Linked DNA regions of Oryzias latipes. The protein of the gene in region 2 interacts with the protein of the main gene of each other region in a pairwise test. Links are inferred from orthologs where the notes say so. Each region holds a gene or a part of one and is shown on either strand. Other genes may lie near its edges. The genes, in order: agtrap, pbx3, pknox1, fsd2 and mal2.

Region 1 (3,073 bases), on a different chromosome or scaffold from region 2:
TGAATATCACTACATGTTTTGTTTGCGTAACGTTACGTGTCTGTATGAACAAAGGCGGAGCCTCCTGCCCGCGTTCTTCATGGATGTCAGGCTTCATGGCTACCAGAAAGGTGACAAAGTGTCTGCAGTCTGTTTATTACTGAGCAATATATAATATTCTGAGAAGATGTCCGTACCAGAGAGCACAGGTGAAACCTCACATGCTCCAATTCCAGAGCGGTCCATTGACTCTATAAGAGAACTGGACTGAGTGACTCTGCTTTCAGTGGAAGGGGTGTGGTCTTCCAACAAGCTCACTCCTGATTGGTGAGAATGGTTGCCATAGAAACAAGGACTCGGACCAATGGCTGCTTACTGATGACGTATGGCTCCAACATGGTGGCGACCACAATCACAAAACAATGGCGGCTGATTCGACTTCATTTGGTTGGAGTCGGAAGAGAAACATTTTCTGTGGATGACATCACACTCGCTCAGTCCAGTTCTCTGATACAGTCAATGTTCATTTCCAAGTATTTTCCTCTCTTCTCTGGTGTAAATTTAATCCTTAAATCTAGTTTTCTATCGTTTCGGTTTCTTCTTGTTGGCTTTTTATTCAGATGACTCTTCCTCCAGTTTTTCTTTGCACAAATATTCTTGCTTCACATTTTAGAAAGCTTTAAACGTTTGAATCCCTTTCATTTCACTTTAATTTTTCTCTGTGTTACTAAAAACAGAAAATTCTCTTTTTATTTAATTTTTTTCACAGAATGAGTGAATGTAGAATAAAAAGTTGTGTTTGTTAAACGATGTATGGAAAACGTGGACAAAAAAATAGAGAGAATGAGGAGGAGACGCATCAGAAAGTCGACGGATAAAAAAAAGGATTTCTGAGGAAAAGTATTAAAGGAAAACCTTTCTGGTCATTTGTAAAAAGTTCAAATGTGGGGCTTTTTGATTCACATCATTGCAGAAAAGAAAGGAATATTTTCCGTGATGTTAGAAGGGTTTTAGAATGTCAGAAACTGGTCCTCAAAAGTTCTCAGATAAAACTGGGATTCAACGGACCCCCCCGGGACAGTTTCACTTTTTAACCGGCTTCATTTTTGAAGTTGGAGCTAAAATGCAGCAGAACTTTAAAACCAGAGTTGATTTGAACTTTTTGTGACCGGCACAGACTAAAAACAGGAAAACCTTGAAAAAGAAACAAAGAAGAAACTTGAATGTTCAGCAGAAGTTCAGGAGGATTTGACTGATTACTTCAAGTTAATTTAAATAATTAGTTAAGATGATCAGACTTCCTGGATCAGCAGAAATCAGAACAGCTGAAAACAAACCAGTCCTGCAGACAAATTATTGTCGTCTTTCTTGGCTTTTTTAGACTCTTGTTTTATTGTAAATAACCTTAGTAAATATCTTTATCACTAATATTGTGCTTTTGTAATGTGTTGTAGATGAATTTGTTGAACCTTTCTGCCTTAGGACAACGGATGAAATGTAGCTCTTGTGCTAAAACTCTGGCATATTTATGCTGAATCTTTGATTAATATGCAGTGTCCCGATTCAAATAAATAAACACAATAAAAATAAAAAACTAATTGATTCTTGTGTTTTTTGGATGGTTTCCAAAACTGTGTGCTAACCTGAAAACAGATCATGTCCGATTAGATTAAACCTCCGTATTTAACATTTTTTTGTTTGTCTGATCAAATATAAAGACAATTAAGGTTGAGTTTGCTTTTCTGAGTATTTCTGGGGATCAGGAGCAGATGAAAAAATCCAAAGTTGTGACGTAAAAAATTCAATCAGCGATACACAAACTCAGCTAATGCTAGATTGGGGGAGGCTGTAAGTTAGTGGGAGAGAGAGTAAACCAAGGGATGATGGGAAGTTAGCGCAGGCTTACTCCGCCCAAAACTCGTAGACACGTTTCAAATGAATCCTTCCCGCTCTGCAGAAACTTTTGTCTAAAATGAAGTTTTGTTGGAGTTGAAGGAGCTGCTGAGAGGAGGAGGAGGAGGAGGAGGAGGTTTGTGCTGCTCCTTCAGGAAGAACATTTGCCCCGTTTGGAGGTGAAAGACTCCCGTCCTCCCAGAACCCTCTCTGATGCGTTTACCGCGCCGACGGGACTCACCAAAGTTGACGCTGTACTCGCCCCCCCGCTCGCGGTACATCTGGTACACGAAGAAGCAGGACACGGGTTTGAGCAGCAGGTTGAGGATGGCCATCCCCGCACTGAAGCGGAACACGCTGGAGTCGAAGAGGCCGGGGGAAAAGTAGACTCCGAAGTGGATGATGTCGGTCAGAATGGTCACCGTGATGCCCACCAGAAACTGCAGGGGGGGGGGGGGCAGAAAACGAGCAGAGGCAGAGGAGTGAGATCCAAACAGAAAGAACAGAACGTTGAGCGTTACATCGAAGGCCCTCCAGGAAAAAAGTTCCAGAATAGAGTTTTCAATATCAGAGAGCCACACCCCCGGGTGAAAACTCTACTTTCTTCTGGAACTTTCATCCTGGAGGGACTTTGATGAAATCTTTAACTGTAAAGTAGTAGGTAAGTCAAATTGAAAGAAAGTGAAATAAAGTACTATTAACTCCTTCACCGACAGATTAGACAGATTTCTGAGCCACAGAAAATCAGCTGGAGGTCAATAAGCACAACCACAATCAAGGCGCAGCCGATGAGAAACCAGATTTCTTATACTTTTTCATTTTGTTAAGCTCCCTATGGTTCAAAAAAATAAAATGCAGGTCACTTTATTAGCTTTGATATAATTGTGATTAGTCAGCTTTAGACATTTGTGGCAGAGGTGATAAATCGATAAATACTAAACGGTTTTCAATCCCTGCTGACGTCACACCACTACTTTGGCTGCTTAGAGATGATCAACAGGGTGGCTTTTATTTTGAAAGGATGTCATGTGAACAGTAGTTCATGACTTCCATTCACATTCATGTTTTATGTTACTTATGCCCCCCCCCCCCCCCCCCCCAAAAAGGTAACAAGAACACAAATGAGTGTCCTTCTTCTCTAAAGGGTGAGGCGAGACTTAGTGGCTCTGTAAGGGTTAAAGGTTAAACACCCCGCCCCCAA
Region 2 (4,108 bases):
TGAAATATTTTTATTTATCTCTCTGAACATTTAAAGTAAAAAATATATATAAAAATGTTAAAATTTGAATAAACTAAGTTTTGGGAGATAAAGGTTGTGCAGTGAGGTGTTAAAATCCCATTCATTTTTTTGTTTTTTTTTTCCTGCAGTTTTGAGCTTGAGTGTAGGTATTTTACTTTTTTCACATTTCCACAAATAAAGAACAAATTCTCTCTGAACTCTAATTACCTCTGTTCATCGCTGAGTAACTTCAAAAAGTCACAAATGATCAGAATTCACATTTTAAAACTGGGTGAGGTGTAGACAGTCCAGTTTGACTTTTATAAAATGCACTTTTCTTTGCGAGAAATAATGCATGATTGTAGGTGTTTTTCTTCTGTTTCTGTTTGCAAAGATATTAATATGAAAATAAGTCTAGGAATAGAAAACCACGAAGTTTACTGTGATGCTTCATTTAAAGAGGAATCACTCCACAACACTTTCACTGGCGAGACATATGTAGTAGTGTTTTTCTTTTCTTTTCTTTTTTGTTATATTCCCATCTAAATTAAAAATAAAAGTAAAATAGAATTAGTCTATGTAAGGACCAAAGAAGAATTGGAATTAAAAGGGTGTTTTAATGTTTTTTTTAATTATTTTTTGTGTTTTTTTTTGTTTGTTTTTTTAAGATATATTTTTGTCTGAATTAAACATAAATTAAAATAGTATTCACTTGTTTAAGGACCAATGCAGAATTGTTATTTAGAAGGCTTTTACTTTTACTTTATTTATTTATTTGTTTGTTTTATTTGTATTTTTATTTCGAAGATTCCTGTCTAAATTAAACATTAACTAAAATAGTATTAGTTTCTGTAAGGACCAAACCAGTAAATTATAATTTAGAGCTGTAAAAAGCCTCAGAGTACTATCAAATAACCCTAAAAAAGTCCACACCTCATTTTTTCCATCTTACTACTTAATTCTTTTCGTGAATCCGTGCTAAACTCTCACTGTAGAGGAGCATTTTTGTTGCCTTGTATCCAGCTCAACAACTTGTCTGCTGCCATAGCAACTGCGGAGGAGCACCCAGCGCGAGCGCCGCCCGCTTCGTTCAGTCGACGTCACGCGTAGCAACGGCCAATCACAAGTTCCCATGTTTTAGCAAGACTGACACACGAAGTGGGAGGGCGTTTGGCAGCTTGTATCCTCCGCCAATTGGACAGAGGGCCCGTCACTCTCTGCTGTTCTCGCCTTTGATTGGCCAGTGAGCTTTACTTCCAATAATATAAACATGTCTGCCGCTCGCATGGCTTGAACCGAGGCTTGAAGAGCGACTATGCCACATCAAACTGTATAAAACTCCCATGAATTTGCCTGCGGTGTGGGGGCTAAATCTTTATTATTGTTGGAGATAATGCACATAGCTGCACGTGCACGCGTCACGGAAACGAGGACACCCCGCCGCCGCTGCAAGAAAGACAGAGGGGACTCTGCCGTTCTTCTATCATTCTAATCACCATCCTAAGTACTAGCTCCTAACATTTTGTGTTTTGGGGCTCAGGCGAGAAGTGACAACAACATAGACCCCTCCTCTGCAGGGCGGAGCGTGCATTTTCATTTCGTATTTTGTCTTTTTTTTCCCCTACCATTGTAGCCTGCTCTGACACGTCTGCACTGAGTGAGTGGCATTGGCACACTGTCAATCGCTCACTACCGCTGCCATCAAACACATAAAACACACAGGCAGAGGCTGCAGCTCATAAATTTCAGCAGGGCAAGATATTTTTTGCGCATCGTCTTAATACACAATCCTAATTAATTTCTTGTCGTTGTTGCTGCTTTATTTCCTTAACCAGAAATCTTCCAACTTTTTTTGGTTAAGATTTCATATTTTTATAGGAACATTTGGACACCTTTGTGCTACAGATTGTTTTTTTTATTTTTTATTTTTATTTTTTTTTACATTTGACAATTGTCGCTGGAAACATTCCGCGCATTTTGCTGGCAACACCTGCCGAGATTTCTTTGGTCTGTTTCCACATTTGGATATTTTTTTGTTGTTGTTCAGCAGGAGGATATTTTTAAATTTTTATTTTAATTTTTTTTTGGCATCTTCAAGAGGAAATGTGCCGGGAATCTGGTGAAGAGCGCTAAATAAATGAGAGGTCACTAAGGAGCGTTTCTGTCAACACCGCCGGTCAAATCAGAGCAAGAGGTGGAAAAAGAAAAAGACTGCTGCGAGGACTGGATATGATGGACCGTCAATTTTGACAAAGAAGTTTTCGGAAGAAGAAAGATTCATGTGTTTTCTCCCAAATAGAGCTGCGCGTTTTGGCACTTTGGACCGCGCGTAAAGCAGCGAGACGACGCCGACAACTTGGACACATTTTTACGCCTCAGAAAAACAAACAAAAACAAAAACATCCCCCATTTAGTAGTGAGACCGACAAATAAGCCAAAAAGGGGGACATCTGTGCTTTTATTTTGGCCGGACAATCAGTCGTCCATCCTTTCTGCTTGCGGCATATGCTATAGCCGATTTCGTATATGAGTTTTTCAATTTGTGTGGCTCAGTGCACAGACTCTTTAGCGGCTACTATGGACGATCAAGCCCGGATCATGCAGTCGATCGGCGGTGTTAGTCTGGCCGGCCACTCGGTGCAAGGAGGCATGGCACTGCCGCCTCCACATGGACACGATGGGACAGACGGAGACGGACGGAAGCAGGACATCGGTGACATTCTGCATCAAATAATGACCATAACTGATCAAAGTCTGGACGAGGCGCAAGCAAAGTTGGTTGATTTCTATGATTTATTCCATTGACTGTCCACAAAAATAGTCCCCAGCTGCAACAATGTAATCATGTGGCCCGGTTTACTTTGACTGCAATGTGCGTAACAATAGGCTGAAGTGGCTGGAAAGATGTGGAGGTGTAGCTTGTTGATGGCAAAATTGGCACAGAAAAATAAAATCCAAAGTGGCTGCGTTTTAAGTTGCAGAAACTTTGAGTTCACTTGTTTTAAAAATGCATTTACATCTGCAAATAGTTTCAAACCCCCTATATTTTTTTGACAGAAAAGATCATCTGAAGTTAAAAAAAATCATTTTTGAAGTCATCAGTGCTTGTTTTCTTTCTTACATGTCGCTTATCAGTGAACTTATTTCAGTATTTTATTTTTTGTCTTATACTGAAACAGGAAACATGGACTGAACTGTCACAGAATGAAACCAGCACTCTTCAGCGTTCTCTGTGAAATCAAAGAAAAGACAGGTAAGACCAAAAACACATGCAGAAGTTAAAAGAAAAAAAAAAACCAACAACTAGTAGAACATGCATTTTATTGCATCTCCCAGTAATCTAATGACATCCTTCATCCAAGTTACACAGAATTTCCGCCCAAATGAATCCATCATCTTCTGGTTTAAAAAAAACCCAAAACCAAAACAAAGCAAACCAAACTAGCAAAAAACAAAAACATGCCATTGTGCCGTGAGGAAAGGCCACTGCTTGCACAGTACAGCAGGTAGATTGTGTTTCCCCTGAAGACGCTTTTGTTCCTGCTAAAGTCTTGTTATCCAGCACTGGTTGCTTGGATTTAAACAGAAAGCACGCTCCTTCATTCAGCCTCATCACGCTGGCACAGAATAGGATGGGGAAATCCCGCAGCATATGCTCTACACAACTAAAGATCACACAGAATTCATGCTTTCTAACATGACAATTGCTATGCATTTTAAGGAGACTATATAGGCACATAATCTGTTATGGAAACGGGGACATGAACAACAGTGTGGATAAATGCAAATTAAAGAACAGAAACAAATATTGATTGATGGAAATTTGAGTTTTTAAAAATTATGGAAAAAAATTGCTGCTGGCGTATTTGCTTTATGAATGGCAAGTAAATTACAGTTCACATTTTACTGACTTATTTTAAGAAAAAAACGGTCCTTTATTTAAATGAATACCACTGTATTTACAATATTAAAGTGTTAATGATGTAGAAAAACTGTAGACAGTTATGAATAAAGCTACAATAAAATGATCATACAAATTTGCACAGACTTCATCAAATACCTGATATTTATGTGAAACAAGAAAACCTATAAGCACATTTAAATAATT
Region 3 (4,078 bases), on a different chromosome or scaffold from region 2:
GAGGACCCCCCCCTCAGTGGTCCCATGGTGGCGTCATTAAAAATGTCTTTCTGCTCCACACCCCCCGTGTTCTGCTGCTGGTCTTTTTGGGTTCAGGATGTCTTCACTTCAGACGGGAGAGAACATTAGAACTGATGCTTACAGGCAGGAAGCTCCTGAAGACGACGGGGAACAATTACAAAGAAGCAAAGTTAGGTTTTTACAACATTGGAACAATAGATGCACAACATGTAGAAGTAATAACACAAATATCAAAGAGTCCAAAAGGGCAACAAAGAGGAGAAACTAAGGGAAAAAAGATTAAAACATGCACCGTGTTTTAATTAAAGTTCATAGGTTTCAAAGGTTTTTCAGCTTTTTAACCATTTCAAATACTTTCACAGCAGTTTGACTTGTCATGCACCTAATAATGTAGAAAAACACAAAAGGAACTCATTATTACACCACTATTATAGGATGGTGGTGCAGTGGTTAGCGCTCTTGCCTCACAGCAGGTAGGCCCCTGGTTGAAAACACCAATGGGGGGCCTTTCTGTGTGGAGTTTGCATGTTCTACCCATACATGCCTGGATTTTCTCCGGGGACTCTGCCCCCCCCCCCCTCCCAAAATATGCTTCATAGGTTCATTGGTTCCTCTAAATTGTGCCTAGGTGTGAGTGTGCATGGGTGTGTGCATGTGGCCCTGCGACAGACTGGCGACCCTGTCCAGGATGCCCCCTGCCTTCACCCACCAGTGGCCAGGATAGGCTCCAGCACCCTGTGACCCCAAGAGGAACGAAAAACAGTTAAGAAGATGAATGAACCCCCTAATATATACCATTAGGAGCCTTGCAAGGAATCTGTTTTTCTGTGGGTGCAATTAGAAATCTAGAATCAGAAATTTGAGTTTAGCTAATAAATAGCAGTCACTTAGTCAGGCGAAGTTTTGGGTTAACACAAAAAGTCAATAGTTAACAGTTTATCGTTGGTTAAAGCTGTTTTTGTTCCATTTCATCCTGACTGCTGTGCCACAAACTTCAGACTCGCCCAGGGTCCGTTTTTCTCACTGAGTCCGTGTCGGCTGATGGACTGGACCATCGACCAATCAGAGCTGATGTCGAGAAGGGCGGGAGCTGAGTCGGCCAATAAAATTCCACGGGGGGGCCGAGGCACCCCTGCTCCCCTCTTTGGACACACCCCTGCGCACGCGCGCGGCGTAACAAACAGCCTCTAAATCAGGCCTCAGGGACTCGGAGGCATGCTGACGTCAGAGCTCCGCCCTCCTCATCCATAAACATGAGCCGAGCGCTGCTGCGTGCCCCTGCGCGATGACGCAACGCGACAACTGCGGGTCCCGATTGCTGCAGCCGCTTGTCAGTGTGACGAAGATTGGCACTCAGGTAAGCTGTCACTCAAAATCCCTCTTTTTCCGTTCCCTATCAATCAAACAATCTGGGCCGCACGTAAAAATGCCCCAGGGCGAGGAGCGCGGACCTAGTCAAGGCGGCGGAAGGCGTCCTGGGAAGCAAAACCCCAGTGTTAGAGCTGCGGGAGGAATTCAAATAAATAAAAAAATAGAAGGGAGAGGGGGGGTTGAAATATGTCTGCGTTTGCAGGCAGAGGAGGATGGTGAAGAAGGAGAGGGCGAGAGCCACGAGCGAGGCCCGACACATGCAACGTTAGCGCGGAGGGAGGGAGGGAGGGGACGCAGCTGTCCCCGCATGATTGATCGACTCACGGGGGAGGATTTCAAGATCAACCTGGCTACGCGGTGCGCGGCCAGTGCTTTGTGTTGTCCCAGTCCCAACGCTTAACACAATTAAAAATTTGGAAAAAAACGAACAACCACTAAAAGTGTTTGGCTAATGGCAGAGGCCGCAGCTCCGCGTCAGACGGCTCCCTTTGTATCACTCCGCAGCGGGCTTTTTTTTTTATAACCTGGCTAGCACAGTTAGCATGTTTTTTAATCTTGAATGTGATGTTTGCTTTGAGGTTCCCGCCTCTCCACACATGACGGCGCGTGTTTTTACAGCATGAAAAACACTCCCGTTTCTCTTCATGTTCGTTCCGATGTTCTGTAGGCTAGCTTTAGTCGGGAGGTCGGGCTAACGAGCGTGCCCGTTCCTTTACATCCCATGGCGGTGGCGAAATCAAGCCCCCTCTAAACCCCCTTCTTTCATAAAGCACGCAGACGTTAGCCTCAGGGGTGCGTTGGATTTAACCTCCTCTCCGTGCCGCGGTAGCTGTGCTAGCAAAGCCGCGGCTAACTCAAGCTCCCCCAAAACAAATATCCAAATAAAGTGCTGTGCGCTCGGGCACGCGCCCGTGAAAACATTCCCCCGGGATAAGGCCCGTCATTCCCGGGCAGCTGGAACGTCAGCTGCGTGGTTACACTAGTGTTTCCTGACAGAGCGGTGACGTCAGTGACCGTGTTGTCGTTGCAGGTCGGGCCCTGGTCCTGCTGTCTAGGATGAGCCGCGGTCTGCAGGTTCTGCAGTGAACGTGATGGCGGCCCAGTCAGTGTCCCTTGACAAGTACCCGAAGGAGGAGCATCAGGTGGGTGAGGCTCACCTGAGGCCTCCGGCAGCTGCTTCTACCTGAACGAGGTCAAAGTTAACCATGACCCTGATGTTCCAGGTGGTCCCCCCCCTCCTGAATGTTGAAGGCTGAGTGTGTCCTCCACTTGTTTTAGCCCAGAATACAGCAGCCAGCAAAGGACACGCCCCTAAAGTCTGGCCACCTCTGAGCAGAACAGCTTGGTCAGTCCAGAACTTACACACACTGCTCTGTCTCCACCTGTAGAAGTTCGGTTCTCTGACAGCTCCTCTGATGTTCTGAGCAGCAGAACCGTGACCCGGTTCTAAATGTTGGGACTGAGCCTGCAGAACACAGGACGTTCTGATGTGGTTTGATACCGGCCTCCCCCGTTCTTCCTTTAGGGAGGCCATTTAGTGAAACGTTGAGCAAGCTGGACGCCGGTGTTCGATTCCCAGCAGGCTGTTTGGGCTCGTAGTGCTCCTCTAGGAACTGAAGTCACGTGTGTCTGAATTCCTCCCCTGCTCACTCTACAGCGCGTTCTCCATGTTCTAGTTTGTCTGAATCTACAATCCCAAAATCCAGAGCCCTAGAAATTTCCCAGAAGTCTCTGTGAAAAACCAGTGAGCATCAATGCTCACTAGATCTGAGAACATAGACCACAATGCATTGCATCGGAACAAATTTAGCCCCCAAAAATGTCTTTAAATAAATAAACCATCAATGTTTTAATCCTCAGAACTCAGTGGACTCATAAATAATCATATCATAATAAATAATCGTCAGAAAACGCTCATATCAATTAGAGTTTAACTTTGTGAAATCGATGACATCATATCCGCCGTTTAAAAAAGAAGAATAGTGATCATGGAGTCTGAACCGCGTTTGTAATTCAGGGCTCTACATAGTGCTGCACTGCATTTCTAGGGGTTCTGACACAGCCACGGTGGATCTGTCCTTCAGAAGATGGAACTGCTCAGGAACAGAGTTTTTAGCTCGGGGGGGGGGTCGGGCTGGAGAACGTCAGGCTCCTTGATGGGGAGACTGAGGAGCAGAGAGGACATCGTCTCCAGAGGTTTCACTGAAGATGCTGTAGTCCTGCTTCAGAGAGGAGACGGTCCTGTCTGTGAGGGGGCGGAGCTTCATCCTCAGACGCCTCCTCTTCCTCGCTCTCTGCTGTTCTCCTGAATGTTTTTGATGCAACATCATGAAATGCAAGTTTCTCAGAGATGTTCTGGTATTTTATCTGTGGACACAAATAAATGAAAGGAGCGCCATCTTTGTGGTTAAATGAGCTTTCAGAGCGTTGGTGTTCTTCATCTGCTCTGAGCTCAGGAAAGCTTCTACCATGGAGGTCCTTGACTTACAAGAACATGCCTGGTTTTTCACGCCTTCTGGTTTCTCCGTCCCGCAGATGCAGGGCGGGGTAAAGGACGACAGCGACTCGGAGCACACCTTCATCGGGGGGCCGTTGGCAGAAATGCCGAGCCCGGGCCACACGGAGCTGAAGAACCCCATGGATGCAGACAAGGCATCGATCTACCGGTACATCCTGTTTGTGTTCA
Region 4 (3,969 bases), on a different chromosome or scaffold from region 2:
CTGCAGGTTTTCGAAGTACTCCTCCACATCCCGCTCGTCTTGAGTGAACAGCGTTTCCAGAACAATCTTTCGGCCGCAGAAGTCGATCGCTGTGACAAAGTATTTCTCCAGTTTCCTGCACGGCGTGTCGAAGTCCCTCTCGGCGTCGTCGTGCTCCGGAGCTGACCTCCGGCTTTGAAACAGCAGCTCCCACAGATTGCCTTCTTCAAACGCAGACAAGTCTGGAAAGCACGCGCAAAGGATGTCCGCCACGCACGTGAACTGCTGGTGGATGTGCTTCAAGTCGCTGACAGAGAAGAGTCCAGCCCAGCTGAGCGGAGACTCGCCAGCATCGACTTCAGCTTTGCGTTTCTGCCGCTGCAGCGTTCGGTTGTGGCAGGTGACGGCGAACTTTGACTCGATGGCGTTCCACTCTACGATAAAGCCCAGCTTCACTGCCTCGTTCTCCTCGAATATATTACTTTTGACGGCCACCCAGCCGTCCAGACTGTCCAGCCGGTCAACCTCAACGCCGTCCATCCTAAAAACACGTTCATTTGGCCTCCGATGAACTGTTGGCTCTGTTTACAACGTCCGCCATTTCTATCCCGGAAGTAGCCTTCAGGTGCCACCCAAAATACTCGGAATTATTAAAGACCGAACGCTAATCATGCAGACAATGTTAAACGCAGTCATTTTAAGGCACTTTTTTGCTCAAATAAAAAACTTAAAAGTACAGGTATATTTTCACAAAATTGTATGTGGTTATTATAGAAGTAATTATACTTTTACGCTATTGTGCAACTTATTTTTACTTTAATATTAATTGTTTCAAGTTGTGTACCTGTTTCATGTTTACAAAACAGTTAGAATATCACATACCTGATAACAATATACGAAAATACGAAGTTTAACCCCCAAAAAAGTATAAAACAAGAGTCTGTATGTTTGATTTGGACTTTTACAATGACCTAGAATGCCTCATGACGGCATTGACTAACTTTCACCTTTGACCTTTAAAGTCACATGCTTGGGGATTTTCCTTACATCAGACTCAAACTTATGGAGTTATCAAAACTGTTTGTGCTATATTTTTGTCTCAAATAACAAAACACAGAAATGAAACTGTGTTATTCACAAAACTGTATTTGATTTTCCCTGAAATAATAAATGTTTTGCAGTCATTTGGTGTGCTTGTGACATCTGAGCAACATGAGTCCATTCTATTTTTGTCCCAGCTTCTGGTTGAGACTTTTGGAGACTTTGCTTGTCAGACACTCGGCTGCCTATTTAAAAAGAGACTGAATCAGTCAGTTATTCTGGTAATTTTAGTATAATCTTATTTACTATTTTTTAGACCAGCAGGACCTACAAAGTGTGTTTAAAATGAAGTTCTTGTGTTTTTTGTTCTGCACTTTCTTGTTATAGATGTATAAATTGTGGATCTGTGCACTGGTGCAGATTTAAATCGAATGGACCCGAGTGAAGTCTGAAGATGGAGGCTGGATGGGATTGAAGCCAGGCACAAGGACATTTAGCTGAAACTCTACAAAAATGGAGACACATAAAGGAGTTTCAGATCGAGGAGGAAGGACCTTCCAGAGATTTTCTGTCGACACCAATGAGTCCCTTCATTTTGAACCCTGTGAGGACAGCTCTCCGTCTCCCACCGGAATAGAGCATGATGAAGATAATGTGTTCATTAAAGACGAAAATGAGGTAAAAATCCCTAGAATGAGTGTGTTTGTACATTTATTGTATTTAAAGCAGCATGAAAGAATAATTACATTTATTTAAAAAAAATGAAAGCAGTGCACAATTCCACATTTGTTTGTTAGCTAACCAAATAAAAGCCCTGGCAGCAAAAGACTGACTCATAAGTCATGTTACTGGTTTGAACATAAAACAGAAAAAGCTGGAGGCATGACTTGCATTTGCTTTTAGAGTGAAATGACCTCAATCAGGAACCGATTGCAAGGCAAGGTTGCTGAGATGGAGAACTTTGCTGGACACCTGGAGGAGATCTTTCTTACTGTTGAGGTACGATGACAGTCAGGTCTGCTTAAAAAATTAATAAATAAATGTAGTTTAAAAATGTTTCTTCTCCCCACCATTCATGGGGGCTTGTCATTACTTTTGCTACTCAACCTTTGATTTATACATTTATTGTTACGTAAGTGTGTACGTCTACCCTTCTGTGCTTCCTACTCACACACTTGGGGTATGACCCATCATTATTCGTATCTCTGGGCTGGTACATGCAGGAGAACTTTGGCCGTCAAGAGCAGCACTTGGAGCAGCACCACAATGACGTGCTGCAGACGCTGTCCCAGCGCCACAATGAGAGGGCTGCAGGCCTGGTGGAGGAGAAGAAGAGTAAGATGGAGGCTCTGTACAGTCAGCTGCTCTCCTGCGGTCAAGCACTGGATGCCTCCAAGGAGCTCATTGAGACAGCCCAGGAGATCTACCGCACGCCAGACAAGAGGGTGTTCCTGAAGGTACCTGTGTTTTAGTTGTTTCATTTTAATTTTCTAAAGTAGATGTTCAAAGTTGTGTTCGTCTTTAGACACACAATGCCTATTTTTGCTTTTAGGAAAACACACAGTCATTCCATATGCACAAACCACTCATTTAGAATTTTCAATTTAAATCCTGTCCTTTTGTTTCATATATTTTGACAGACAGTTATGCCCATCATTAAAAGGTAACGTGGATGATGCTCAGTGAGTATGCATGGTGTGACGTGGATTCAAAGGGATTTTTGTGTTATTAAACCACACTCTTAGAATTGGGATTGTAGTTTTATACATTGCCTGTGTGTGTTTTGCAGAATTGAGATGTTTGCTAAGGAGAAGGTTGATCTCACATTGTCCACAAAGCTTGACTTTGAAACACCCCAAGCTGATCTGTCTGATGTGAAAACCATGATGGACTCCGTCAATGCCGTCCCAGGTCTGTTATGACCACTTCACCCATTCACTCACTGGCCACATTAGGTACACCTTGCTATTATCAAGTTGGACAGGAGGGGCACCCGGTGTGGTCTTCTGCTGCTGTAGCCCATCTGCCTCAAGGTTGGACGTGTTGTGCGTTCAGAGATGTTCTTCTGTACACCTCAGTTGTAACCAGAGGTTATTTGAGTTACTGTTGTCTTTCTATCAGCTGAAACCAGTCTGGCCATTCTCCTCTGACCTCTGACATCAAGAAGGCACTTCCGCCCACAGAACTGCATCTATCTGGATATTTCTTCTTTTTCAGACCATTCTCTATAAACCCTAGAGATGGTTGTGGGTGAAAATCCAGGTAGATCAGCAGCCCGTCTGGTACCAACAACCATGCCACGTTCAAAGTCACTTCAATCACATTTCTTCTCCATTGTGATGCTCGGTTTGAACTGCAGCAGATCATCTTGACCATTTCTACATGTCTCAATGCACCAAGTTTCTACCATGTGATTGGATGATTAGAAATGTGTGTAGAGGACCAGCTGGACAGGTGTGCTTAATAAAATGGCCAGTGAGTGTATACACACATGTGCATCTATCAAAAAAATGTGCGGAACTCTGGTTTCCATACAAGAACTAAAAAAGATTGTTGGTCCGACTTGAGTTTATCTTTTAGGGCATTACACGAACAACATGTTAATGTTAGTATTTTTTACACATAAAAACAGCTCCATCTGCTCCGGTAATCAACCCCCAGATGTCCAACTCAGCCACGCAGACGTCTTTGCGTGTTTGCTGGAGTTTATTCTCTGACGACACGGTGGAGTACTATGACCTTTACTACAGACCCGTGCTGGAGGACACGCTAGCAGACGGCTTCTGCCAACCACATGGTACCAGGTGGTTAAAGATCTAATGACCCTGGAGACAAGCTGGAGACTAAATGTGTGTTTTTCTATAGTAAGCACAGTAAAAGTGAAGGAGACTCACTGCACGGTGACAGATCTGCTCCCTAACGCTCAGTATGAGCTCTGGGTAACAGCGA
Region 5 (4,229 bases), on a different chromosome or scaffold from region 2:
GCTCGAGAAAATGACTCATATTTGATTTTGTTTTTTTAAAAAGAGGTTATTTAGTGTGCTAAAGGTAATATATGGATGTCGTTTACTCTGACAGACTTCAGAATTGCATGGTATAGGCCCTTTAATATTTTAAACTAAACAGTGAGTACATTTTCTTATAAATGAAATAAATGTAAAATTAATAGTGTTTGACGCCCTGCGACAGACTGGTGACCTGTCCAGGGTGTCCCCAGCCTTCGCCCACAAGTGGCCGGACACGCTCTGGCAGCCCCCTGACCCCGAAAAGGACAAAACGGCTTAGGAGATGAAAGAATGAACGACTGTTTGACCTCTGAATGTGTTATTTTTGAAAAACCATTGAGCCTTTTAAAGGTTTTATGAAGAGAATCCAAATCAAAACTAGTATAAAACAAGAAAAAAACTCATCACAAACAATGAAAAATAGACTTTGACTATACAAGGGAAAAGATTCAGTCCACTAAAAATGAACAGTGCCCTCTTGGAGGTTAAACCAACATTGGTTAACATAATCTAAACTCAAGCTAATCATTGACAGTGGTTTATCATAAAAACTGTGCTTTTTCACCATGACAGCCCAGTGGTTCAGTTTAAATCTGTCATTTATTTCACAGGACACCATACAAGTGTTATTTTAGTAACATTTGTGTTCCTTTAAAAGTCTTTGGTGAAATTACAATATAAAAGTAAACTTTTTTTTCAATGTTATCTAGGTCATTTCTATTTTTTTAAAGCAGGTTTTTTTTTAAATCATGTTTAGGTTTATAAAGATTTAGGTTTCCCAACACCGTCTGGTCAAGTTTTCCTCTTGTCTAACAAACCTGATTAAGCTCCTGAGTTTAATCATGACTTGAGAATGAGTCATTTATTTGAGTTGGGTGTGTTTGACAGAGAAAAGCAGTAAAACACTCTGGGCAGGGATGCTTAAGGAACAGGGTTGTGAAACACATAGTGATTCCTAATAAGAAAAAGGAAGAAAACTGCTATCCTTGATCGTTACAGGGCCAAAGGGCATTTGATAAAAGCATAATCATGCAAATTTCAGAGTTGGCAATATCAAACACTAATAATAAAAGTGTGGAAAAACTTGAAGAAGTGCCTCATATATGTTTTACTCGTGCCTGTTTGACACATGCGAGATTTTCTTTCAGAAATGTTAAATAAAATGTAGGTTATTCCAAATAATTGATTTTCCCAACACTTTTCCTGTAGAACATTGGACAAAATAAAGGGGCTTTTTCTACTTATTTTAGTCAAACTACTAATTTAGTTGACTACACAAGACTACAATGTAATAACAATACCAGAACACGTTTATAATATATTTATAATAAACTTTTTAAACCCGTCCTTGTTTTATAAAATGGATATTGTGATGTGGGATCTTCCGAGACGTCCCTGAACGCATCCCTCGTATCCAGGGAGTGGCCGCTGCACCTGTCCGACCTGTTCGAGGACACATGATTCCGCAGGAATTTCTGCCTCTGTGCCCGTCCTTTGTTTAACGGGTAAATTCAGAGAGCTTAGTTATTCAGAGAGCAAGGAGATACAAGGAGAGGTGAAAAATGTCGGAGCCAGCCTCTAACCCCGCCGCCGCCACCGCTGCCCCGGTGGACCCCGCCGCCGCCACCTCCTTCCCGACGGCAACCATTTCTCTACCTCTGGGTTTGGGTGTGTTACGGACTTATTCTGGAGTTCTCATCTGCATAGAAATAGTGAGTGATTGTTTACAAGCGGTTGTTTTATTCTATATTTATTCACATCCTTATTACTAATATATAGTAAAATCTGTTAGGAATCAGTTTTTGTCTATAGTTTAGTTTGTTACTGTTGTTGCAAACTGTATCTGCTCATTCGACATCATGTCTCTTAGGGATGCGACTTTTGCACATTTGTAGTCGTGCGCTAAAGTCACGTCCTTTAATATAAAATTATAGAAGAAGACCACAAGTGAGTTTTGGTTTGTGTCTACATTATTGTGTCATAAACATACAAGGTGACCTCTGCACAGCACTTCCATGAAAGCTCTAATCTAATCTAACAGGTATTTTACTACTTATCTTGATGCCTTAGTTTGTGCAGAAAAGGAAGAGCATATGTTGGAAACATTCAAAGAATTAATTGCCGATCTGTGGCTATTAAGGTGTGAGCCTGGTTGATGTTAACCCTTGAACTTCCCACCCACTAAAATAATGCTTTTAGTTGGTTTTGTGAAAAAGAAAACTTACCTAATAAGGATGATCAGAGAAGAATGCATTATGAACTAACAATTTATGATACTTTGCTTCAAAAGAATCATAAAAAATTGGACATTTTAATCAAGGGCTAAGTAAATTCCTTAAAAAGATTGAGAGAGAAAACAAGCAGCAAAGATGCCAAAATGGCCAAAGTTTTTCAATTATTCACCAACTAAAATGCAATAACACTTACGTGGTATAATTAATTTGCCAAGATATTGAGTGCCTCGGGGTAACTGTTCAAATGATGCATGACAATTTTCACATAGATGCCATACACTTAAAACTTTCAGCTCATGTTAGTAAAGGGGAGCATTAAGCAGGAGAACAAATCCAACCATTGCAGAAAAATATTTTCATATTTACCTCTTGAACTGCATACATGCCTTGTCCTCAATTACAGGAAGAAAGTGTACTTTCAATCATTCATCTGCTAAACCTGGATTGTCCCTTTTGGGGTCATGGGGCTGCCGGAGCCTATCAAGGCCACTCGTGGGCAAAGGCAGGGGACATCCTGGACGCCAGTCTGTCACAGGACCACAATCACACACCCATGCACACCCACATTCACACCTAGGGACAATTTAGAGAAGGGCTGCACGATAAGAGGAAAACTTGCGATATTAGTGATCAATATTGCGATGACGATATAACTTGCAATAAATGAACAAATAGCAAAATCAACAAAAATATTTCCATTTCACTGAACAGTTTAATTTAAATAAGAGTCAAAATGCCTTTAATTATTCTCCAAATGACCCTCGTCTAATTAGGAGGGCAACATCTAACATAAAAGCTCCATCGGATTGGTTAGCAATGTGAAAGGCTCCATCTGATTGGTATCAAGGGATTTATTCAATTATGTATTCAATTCTTATGATTCAAGTGGCCATAAGATTTTTTTAGCACATTTAAGGTTTACCTTTTATTGCGATTTTAGCTGTCTTTTGTGATATGGATAATGCACAGCGATAATGCATCGCGATAACAATAAATTTGCGATTTATTGTGCAGGCCTAATTTAGAGTAACTAATTAACATGTGAAGCATGTTTCTGGAGGTGGGCGGAAGCTGGAGTCCCCAGAAAAAGCCCATGCAAACTCCACACAGAGAGGTACCCCATTGGTGTTCTGTTTCATGTCTATGGCGTTTCATGGCTGCCACTAATTTTATCAAGCGCAAAGATAAGGACTGACTGAGCGAAACTTATAACTGCGCAATTTCAACCGAGCGACCCCGCATTTTACAACTGCACAGTTGCAATCTTAACCGAGTGGCGATCCTGCATGCTCGCTGGGTTTGCGCGAAGTGTTCAGGGGGTGTTTTTGTCACTTGGGGGCAGTAACCTTTCTGGTTGATCTGATTGGCAGAAATCTGTATGTCAAATCCAGTGAGGCAGCGGGGCGGGAGTTTAAATTTTTTTAGAGGCTTTAATAGAAAATAACGGCGAACATATTGTGGATTGAAATGTTAACGAAAACACGAATTCAGTGATTTTACATGAGAAAAACTTACACAAAAAAAAAAACCCACTGCACTTTCTTAACTTAGCTTATGAGCTGAAGTAAAGCTTTTTCTTTTCCCTGAATGAAACCAATTAATGTGTGCGATTTTTTCATTCACGTTTTTATTTCACACACACACACATGTACAAGAGGTTGCAACACAGATTCACCATTTCTAATTGATTTGTTCATTTATATGTTTATAAAGAAAATTGATCAGTTTACAATTACAGTTTGAGTTTTATTAAAATACTGGCTCATTTAAGAGCATAGAGTGTTTTTAATCAATATAATCTATATGTTTTTGTCACTTGAGGCAGTAACCTCTCATTTTTTTGGCTTTGATAGCATAAAAGACGACGGATGTAACGTGGATTAAAATGTTTACGAACAACCCAAAACCAATTATGGGAATAAGTTTAAGTTCAGGTTTTTTTCGACTGGGACATAATGAAAGACCAAGGAGGTA

Evidence for each region.
Region 1: the proteins of pbx3 (region 2) and agtrap interact in a two-hybrid assay, tested with the Homo sapiens proteins (4 studies listed by BioGRID). The two-hybrid records come from large-scale screens. The link is inferred for Oryzias latipes from reciprocal best matches to the Homo sapiens genes PBX3 and AGTRAP.
Region 3: the proteins of pbx3 (region 2) and pknox1 interact in a two-hybrid assay, tested with the Homo sapiens proteins (2 studies listed by BioGRID and IntAct). The link is inferred for Oryzias latipes from reciprocal best matches to the Homo sapiens genes PBX3 and PKNOX1.
Region 4: the proteins of pbx3 (region 2) and fsd2 interact in a two-hybrid assay, tested with the Homo sapiens proteins (3 studies listed by BioGRID and IntAct). The two-hybrid records come from large-scale screens. The link is inferred for Oryzias latipes from reciprocal best matches to the Homo sapiens genes PBX3 and FSD2.
Region 5: the proteins of pbx3 (region 2) and mal2 interact in a two-hybrid assay, tested with the Homo sapiens proteins (2 studies listed by BioGRID). The two-hybrid records come from large-scale screens. The link is inferred for Oryzias latipes from reciprocal best matches to the Homo sapiens genes PBX3 and MAL2.

Annotation. Positions count from the first base shown.
Region 1 is NC_019863.2:32,259,493-32,262,565, forward strand, and holds part of agtrap (type-1 angiotensin II receptor-associated protein), read right to left. Parts: intron 2,313-3,073; coding exon 2,114-2,312; intron 1-2,113. UniProt on the Homo sapiens protein: Appears to be a negative regulator of type-1 angiotensin II receptor-mediated signaling by regulating receptor internalization as well as mechanism of receptor desensitization such as phosphorylation.
Region 2 is NC_019867.2:19,129,174-19,133,281, forward strand, and holds the start of pbx3 (pre-B-cell leukemia transcription factor 3), read left to right. Parts: upstream 1-1,295; 5' UTR 1,296-2,526; coding exon 2,527-2,774; intron 2,775-3,173; coding exon 3,174-3,253; intron 3,254-4,108. UniProt on the Homo sapiens protein: Transcriptional activator that binds the sequence 5'-ATCAATCAA-3'.
Region 3 is NC_019879.2:31,114,592-31,118,669, forward strand, and holds the start of pknox1 (homeobox protein PKNOX1), read left to right. Parts: upstream 1-1,266; 5' UTR 1,267-1,306; coding exon 1,307-1,378; intron 1,379-2,419; exon of another isoform or gene 2,420-2,483; coding exon of another isoform or gene 2,484-2,534; intron 2,535-2,615; exon of another isoform or gene 2,616-2,737; intron 2,738-3,927; coding exon 3,928-4,058; intron 4,059-4,078. UniProt on the Homo sapiens protein: Activates transcription in the presence of PBX1A and HOXA1.
Region 4 is NC_019861.2:13,794,293-13,798,261, reverse strand, and holds the start of fsd2 (fibronectin type III and SPRY domain-containing protein 2), read left to right. Parts: upstream 1-1,169; 5' UTR 1,170-1,301; intron 1,302-1,337; exon of another isoform or gene 1,338-1,354; intron 1,355-1,407; 5' UTR 1,408-1,533; coding exon 1,534-1,698; intron 1,699-1,923; coding exon 1,924-2,019; intron 2,020-2,243; coding exon 2,244-2,477; intron 2,478-2,660; coding exon 2,661-2,683; intron 2,684-2,809; coding exon 2,810-2,931; intron 2,932-3,652; coding exon 3,653-3,817; intron 3,818-3,885; coding exon 3,886-3,969. Other genes in the region: whamm (WASP homolog-associated protein with actin, membranes and microtubules), read right to left, coding at 1-519.
Region 5 is NC_019874.2:10,913,548-10,917,776, forward strand, and holds the start of mal2 (protein MAL2), read left to right. Parts: upstream 1-1,422; 5' UTR 1,423-1,583; coding exon 1,584-1,733; intron 1,734-4,229. UniProt on the Homo sapiens protein: Member of the machinery of polarized transport. Required for the indirect transcytotic route at the step of the egress of the transcytosing cargo from perinuclear endosomes in order for it to travel to the apical surface via a raft-dependent pathway.